Kluyveromyces lactis: one gene and its partner. The protein of the gene in region 2 binds, or shares a complex with, the protein of the main gene of each other region. Links are inferred from orthologs where the notes say so. Each region holds a gene or a part of one and is shown on either strand. Other genes may lie near its edges.

Region 1 (3,130 bases), about 370 kb from region 2:
CTTTAAAATGAAACCTTAGTAACTAACTCACGAAAGTTCTTTTGGAGACGAGATAATCAACTGCTATTGAGCCGCTAAGTTAAGAGTTCACAATCAACGATGACAAAAACACCTTGAAAAGCTAAATATGTAAACAGCTTTCGTCTTCAATACACAATCAGTTAATCAATTGATAGCCAAAAATATAAGAAAAAAAAAAAAAAAAGAGACCTGCTAACCTGATCCGATTCGATTCGGTTCGAAATAGAATACCGTAGCTTAATCAAAGTAACCTTCCGATTACTATATACATAAAAATGTAGCACTGGACAGATCAATTCCAACTAGTCAAACCCTCTTTCGCTTCTCCAACTAATAGGTTTCCTTCTCTTAACAAACTGTACTGGACGTTTTTTCCCTCTTTAAATTTCCTAATCCTGAAATCCGTTTCTCTTTAAATTTTCACATCGTCTTTAAATGTCAGCTAGAATCGAAAGTTAGGGAAAATTGCAGTATTCCAGTTTCCGTATGATTCTATCATATACGGAAAGTCAGCTGTGAAGAAAATGATCCGAGAAAATAGTCTGTTCAGTCTTTGGACTCATGGAACACTTCGACAACTATTCTAAATCTTAGGGGAATGTGTTGCTCACTTGCAACCTCAACTCTTGTCTTTAGATGAACTGACACTACGCAGGAATTCACACATCACAGTCACGTGCAAATCACGCGATGTAAGTTTCCGTTTCCCGTATTACCCGCACACTTAGCAACCCACAAAGGGAAATAGACGTGCTCGAAAATTGCCTAAAGAAGTGAAACAAAGATCAAAATACAAACAAAGATATGAGGAAAGAGAAGGAGGAAAAAAATAAACAAATAAAAACAAATAAATAAACAATTTAAAGTGGTTAAATAAGTGAACACAGACGTGATTGTGAACAGGCTTGCACGGGTTAGAGATAACTTTATAGATAACAGCTGTGAGAACTCGTCTATTTCGATTTGTTAGTTTGTTTGTTTAATATACTGTGGACAAGACTACTATTTTTACCCATATTATATTTCACTTTTTTCTTGTAAAGGACAGAGAGATCGCATAATTATTTTTTTTTCTTGAAAGAACAAGGATCAACAATTACTGGATTATAGATACCCCTCGATTGTATCAACACCAAGTCTTTCTACAATTTGCCTGTGCTGTGTTTCTTCAATTGTCATTTTTTGAGATCAGATCAATAACGCGCTCAGAGATATTCTAAAACATGAGAGAGATCATTCATTTGTCCACAGGTCAATGTGGTAACCAAATTGGTGCTGCGTTTTGGGAAACTATTTGTGGTGAACACGGTTTGGATTTTGAAGGTAACTATCACGGTATCGATGATATTCAAAAGGCTAGATTGAACGTTTACTTTAACGAAGCCTCTTCTGGTAAATGGGTTCCAAGATCCGTTAACATTGATTTGGAACCTGGTACCATTGATGCTGTACGTAACTCTAAGATTGGTACTTTGTTCAGACCAGATAACTACATTTTCGGTCAATCTTCAGCAGGTAACGTGTGGGCTAAAGGTCATTACACTGAGGGTGCTGAATTGGTGGATTCTGTCATGGACGTTGTCAGACGTGAAGCTGAAGGTTGTGACTCTTTGCAAGGTTTCCAAATCGCCCATTCCCTTGGTGGTGGTACCGGTTCTGGTATGGGTACTTTGTTGATCTCTAAGATCAGAGAAGAATTCCCTGACAGAATGATGGCTACTTTCTCCGTTGTCCCATCCCCAAAGACTTCAGATACCGTTGTAGAACCATACAATGCCACTCTATCTGTACACCAATTAGTCGAACACGCTGATGAAACTTTCTGTATCGATAATGAAGCCCTTTACGATATATGTCAAACTACTCTAAAATTACCACAACCAGATTATGCGAACTTGAACCATTTAGTTTCAAGTGTCATGTCTGGTGTCACTACATCCCTACGTTACCCAGGTCAATTGAACTCAGATCTAAGAAAATTGGCCGTGAATTTGGTGCCCTTCCCAAGATTACACTTCTTCATGGTTGGTTATGCTCCATTAACCTCGATTGGTGCCCAATCTTTCAGATCCCTATCTGTATCAGAATTGACCCAACAAATGTTCGATTCAAGAAATATGATGGCTGCATCTGATCCAAGAAACGGAAGGTACTTGACTGTTGCTGCATTCTTCCGTGGTAAAGTAAGCGTGAAAGAAGTTGAAGATGAAATGCATAAGGTTCAAACTAGAAACTCGTCGTACTTCGTAGAATGGATTCCAAACAACGTGCAAACAGCCGTCTGTTCTGTACCTCCAAAGGACTTAGACATGTCTGCTACTTTCATTGGTAACTCTACATCCATCCAAGAATTATTCAGAAGGGTCGGAGATCAATTTAGTGTTATGTTCAAGAAGAGAGCTTTCTTGCATTGGTATACTAATGAAGGTATGGAAGAAATTGAATTTTCTGAAGCTGAATCTAACATGAATGACTTAGTAAGTGAATACCAACAATATCAAGATGCTACTGTTGAAGATGACGAAGAATTGGAATTCGTTGACGAACAACCAATGGCTGAAAACTTCGAGTAAAGAATATAAAGGAAAACTTCAGCAGGAAAAAAAAAGGAATAAGGAACAAAGATCAGATGTGTACAGAAGATAAGTTTATCATTTTGAGAGCAGTACCACTGAAAGCAAATTATTTGGACACGAGATAAACAATAAACAATGTACTTCAGAAAGATATTTTCTTTCTTCTTATAGTTTTCCTTTCGTTACTTCTACTATTCTAATACTATTCCCCACACCACTAGTAGAAGCGGAAAATTTCGAAATATGATACCACCCTTACTATAATTTATATGCTTTTTGTTTCTCTGCTCAATGATATGTACTATCAATGTGACCCAAAACATTTCTTTAGTATTTGTTTCTATTTTTTTTTAATAATATCATATCTTACTACATAATTTTAGTCTTCACATTATAATACGTGATTCTTCATGATATATTTGACTCAGATGTCAACACAGTAGTATGTGAATGTTTCAATGACTTATCCTCTTCCCCAGGCCTGATCAATCATTTCACAGATCAACGAAACATACCAAGAACAAAAAGAAATA
Region 2 (3,937 bases):
TTCAATGTATCCATCAATAATGTTCTGTTTTGTTCGACATGATCACTGATTATATTTGTGATTTTGCTCATTAAATGCTTCGATGAAAGATTCAACTGGTGATATGTTTTATCTGCGTGTACATTTAGAATTTCTTGATGATTATTCCTAAAAAAATGAGTATCCAAATAAGCTTTCAAATTGTTATTTTCGGCTGTGATCTGACTTAAGCCCTCCTTTAACCGATCTGTATGTTCATCGACTTTTGAAAACATATCGTTCAATTCAGACAGCATCGAATTAAAGAACTTTGGCTGATCTCCCACTACTTTCTGAGCCAGATTTTCACACATGATAATAGCATCCTTCTTAACAGTTTCCAACAGTGTTTCTAGGCTATCTTTTACATTATTGATATCATCATCAATAGTGAAGGACTGTTCCAGAGCTTGCTGTTTTAAGTTGTCCAATTTCGTTTCAATTTTTCTCCGATACTCTAAGATATTATCATATAACATTTTCTGGATATCGGATTGTAACCTTTGTTCATGATCCTCATGTGTTTTCAAAGCTCCTTGCATGTTCCGTACAGCATCTTTCAATTTCATGATCATGTTCGTTAGTTCAATCTCGTTTTTATGTTTTAAATCTATCTTCTCGTATAGATAATCCATGCTTGATTGCAAGTTCCGGATTTGCAACCTTTGAGATTCGATTGTATCTTGCGAAGATTTTTTGTCTTTGTGTAACAATTGATTCTGAGAAGAAAGCTTTTCGATTTCTCGTCTAGACTCTTGGATTTCTGTCTTGTAGTTTTCTATATCATTCATAACTTCATTGTAATGAAGGTGGCTCATATATATCCCCTCTTTCGATTTGGTAGAAAGGAAATCTGACTTTAATTTAGCCAGCTCATGTGAAATATTTTTCACAAGTATATCTTTCATCATGAAACTACCCAACTGAGGTTTATTCTTGATATTTTTCGCCTTTGTAGCGTATTCCAATGTACTTGATGTTTCCTCTGAATTTATTTTCGCCGGTGATATAGTAGCAATCAAAGCTGTCTTTGTATTGCCGCCTAGAGAATCCTGTAGTAGTCTTGTCAATTTTGATTCTCGAAATGGGATATGGGCATTTTTATCAGCCAACGAATTTATTACACGGCCTAATGTTAATAAACTCTGATTAATGGACCCTGCCTCTTTTGCCCTTTGATTTTGTGCCCCCGATCGACTGATATTTTCTGATCCTGCAAGATCTACTAAGTTGATCTTAGAAACTCTGAAAGTTTCGCCATTGAAATTTTTGTACAACGTTAGAGTAAAAATGGTATGTGATCTACTCGAAACGTCATTCATCTTCGTAGAAGCGACCTGTCTATGACTCAAGCCCTTTTGAAGTAATCGTAAGCCTTCCTTGGCGTCAGTTATGTGAAACTCTTGCAAATGCTGAATATAGATTGCAGAACTTTGCTCATTAACCTGGCCCTGAGTCTGCTGCTGCTGCTGCTGCTGCTGCTGCTGTTGTTGTTGTTGTTGTTGTTGTCCATTAGATTGAGATTGGGTTGGAAGCTTTGGTTTCGGTTTATATAATGCTCCTGCGCGTATTCTTCTTTTAGCTTCTAAATTCACGGTAGGAGAATTCGATCTAGAACTTGACCGGCTATTCACATTGGTCACATTGTTACTGCTGTTAAGCGAATCGTATATTCTTAACTTTCTACTGTTATTACCGCCGGAGTCCTGGCCGTCATCCAAAAGATCCTTCAATTCTTCATTGTATAACTCAATAAATGAGCACTTTACCATGTAATCACTTTCTTGCACCTCTAAAGTGTCAAATAGTTTGAACAAGACTCTTGGAATGATGCCTGCTGCTTCACTCAATTCCCCATCGTACAATTTTTCATCACCAGTCATAGTATATGTCTTACCTGTTGAGGTCATGCCGTAAACCAACATCGTACAGTTATATCCCTTGATGAAGTCATGGAACATTGGGTCTGCAATTTCTTTAAATACCAGACTTTGATCAGCACTTGGTCCGAATACTTTATCCACTGTATACGTTTTTGAATTCATTCTTGCAGTGATTCCTATGTCACCGGAGGTATTGATCGAAACCTCATTAGCACCAATAACATCGGGACAGTTCACAACAACAGAGCTTTTCGCTTTAATCTCTTTCTCGTTACGACCACGGCATCGAACAGCTACTGTTATATTCAATTCATCGCCTTCAGGACTCCCGTTGGTCGCAGACATTATGGTTTATTTCAAGAATGATTCGCAAACGTGATCCTATTATTATACCAACAACACGTTCTAATAAATTCAAAAAAATAATACAATTACTACGCAATGCTATAGCGGTTTTAGAATACTTTAGGCGGGTATTCTTGGGTTTCAATTGTCACGGTAGAACTATGCTATTCTTTGTTTACCTGACATGCAATTTGTCTTGTTTACCATTATTCGATATTGTAAACATTGAAAAAGAACAAAGAAATACCCGTATCGAATGATTTAAATATCACGTGATTATTAAACACCTTACCTATCTTTGTAGTTTTGTTATATATGCCGGTTAACCAGTCAAGAGGAATACTATATGCACTTTTGAAGAGGCGCTGCGTAGCATTCGTTGATACAAGAGTTTATGTTTCTGGGCTGTGTAAAATTTATTGTATTGAATCAGCCGAATCATTAGGTTTATCGTTAGATTTCTTATGTTTTCTTCTTCTTTTGTTCTTAGAAGTGCCGGAAACATCGCCCGCTTCGGTAGGGGTAGATATGTTGTTAGACGAAGCAGACAGTGAAGAAATTGAACCAGTTGACTCAGTCGTTTTCTTCTTCTTCATACTTAGTGGATTAGGTTCCTTAGGCCCCTTTCTTTTTTTCGGTTTATTCTCCTGATTCTCGGCACCTGCCTCATCATTTTCGTCACGCGCAATACCCGCAAACTTGGGGTCATTCAAACCCTTGTATAGTTTCTGTTCCTCCACTTCTCGACTCACTTTCTCACTGGCATTACTTAACGGCTCCATCACCATCACTGATCTGTTCATGTATACCAAGGGAACACCAGGAATCTTCCTTAGCCTTCTTCTAATTTCAACATCCTGTGTCGCTACCACATATCTGTGCTTATTCTTCCCATTCACATCCACAACACTCGTGAGACATTCTAGTACGCTCTTTGGCTCCTTTGGATCATGGTTGCAACGACGTCTTTCAAACTGTTTTCCTGCATCGATGGCTCCTTGATTATTCGTTTGGTATAATGACTGCATACAACATTGAGTAATCATAGGCTTTACCTCAGCTTGCAAAGTCCTTTGCAATCCCTTCACAAAATCAAAAGATGAGTTGAAAGTCTCCAGAACTAGTTGATCGTCTACCAAGACTTGATAGGGTTGTCTAAACTTGAAAGTGTGGTTGTAAACCAACATCTGCTTTCTATACGACTTGGCTCTCTTTTGACGCATTTTTTTCTTTTAAAATGTATCAATGGATCTATTGAGTGATAAACCTGGTCACTATAGCCGTCGTAGTGTGGATAGATATATTAAACAGAAGCTGTTGAAGCTACACCATCGCATCTCATCGAACCTCATCGCATAGTATCTTTATATTTGAAAATCAAAAATTTTCTGTAATGTAAAGATTGAAAAAGAAACAAAGTAAAGCATTGAAAAGGACTGCGACCAGTGCATATCGTACGCATATCAGCACATCCTTTAAATTTAAAAAGTTCATACATATATATACAGGTCATTGATATACACTTCTTGCAATCAAAATGATGAGTAGCTCGATATACCAGTTGACCTGAAGTATAAATATTACAATTAACATGATTTTTACGTGCCTTCGATATGATATCAGCAATGGGAACCTTACATCAATGACAGTATCCACATAATCAAATACAGATTTGAGACTGCTACTAAATG

What was found.
Region 1: the proteins of CIN8 (region 2) and TUB2 are in contact, whole or in part, in a cryo-EM structure (PDB 6S8M), measured with the Schizosaccharomyces pombe proteins. The link is inferred for Kluyveromyces lactis from reciprocal best matches to the Schizosaccharomyces pombe genes cut7 and nda3. Residues at the interface, in NP_594527.1 of Schizosaccharomyces pombe: Glu217, Arg233, Val234, Phe235, Glu236, Arg345, Gln352, Arg359, Ala368, His369, His370, Pro372, Arg374, Glu375, Ser376, Arg380; in NP_596650.1 of Schizosaccharomyces pombe: Pro160, Asp161, His190, Gln191, Glu194, Asn195, Phe260, Pro261, Arg262, Met406, Glu410, Ser413, Asp417, Ser420, Glu421, Gln424.

Annotation. Positions count from the first base shown.
Region 1 is NC_006040.1:454,725-457,854, reverse strand, and holds TUB2 (beta-tubulin), read left to right. Parts: upstream 1-1,244; coding exon 1,245-2,594; downstream 2,595-3,130. UniProt on the Schizosaccharomyces pombe protein: Tubulin is the major constituent of microtubules, a cylinder consisting of laterally associated linear protofilaments composed of alpha- and beta-tubulin heterodimers.
Region 2 is NC_006040.1:89,419-93,355, reverse strand, and holds the start of CIN8 (kinesin motor protein CIN8), read right to left. Parts: upstream 2,247-3,937; coding exon 1-2,246. Other genes in the region: rRNA-binding ribosome biosynthesis protein UTP23, read right to left, coding at 2,663-3,469; KLLA0_D01001g (uncharacterized protein), read right to left, coding at 3,756-3,937. UniProt on the Schizosaccharomyces pombe protein: Could be a spindle pole body motor. On transition from G2 to M phase of the cell cycle, the spindle pole body duplicates; the daughter pole bodies seed microtubules which interdigitate to form a short spindle that elongates to span the nucleus at metaphase.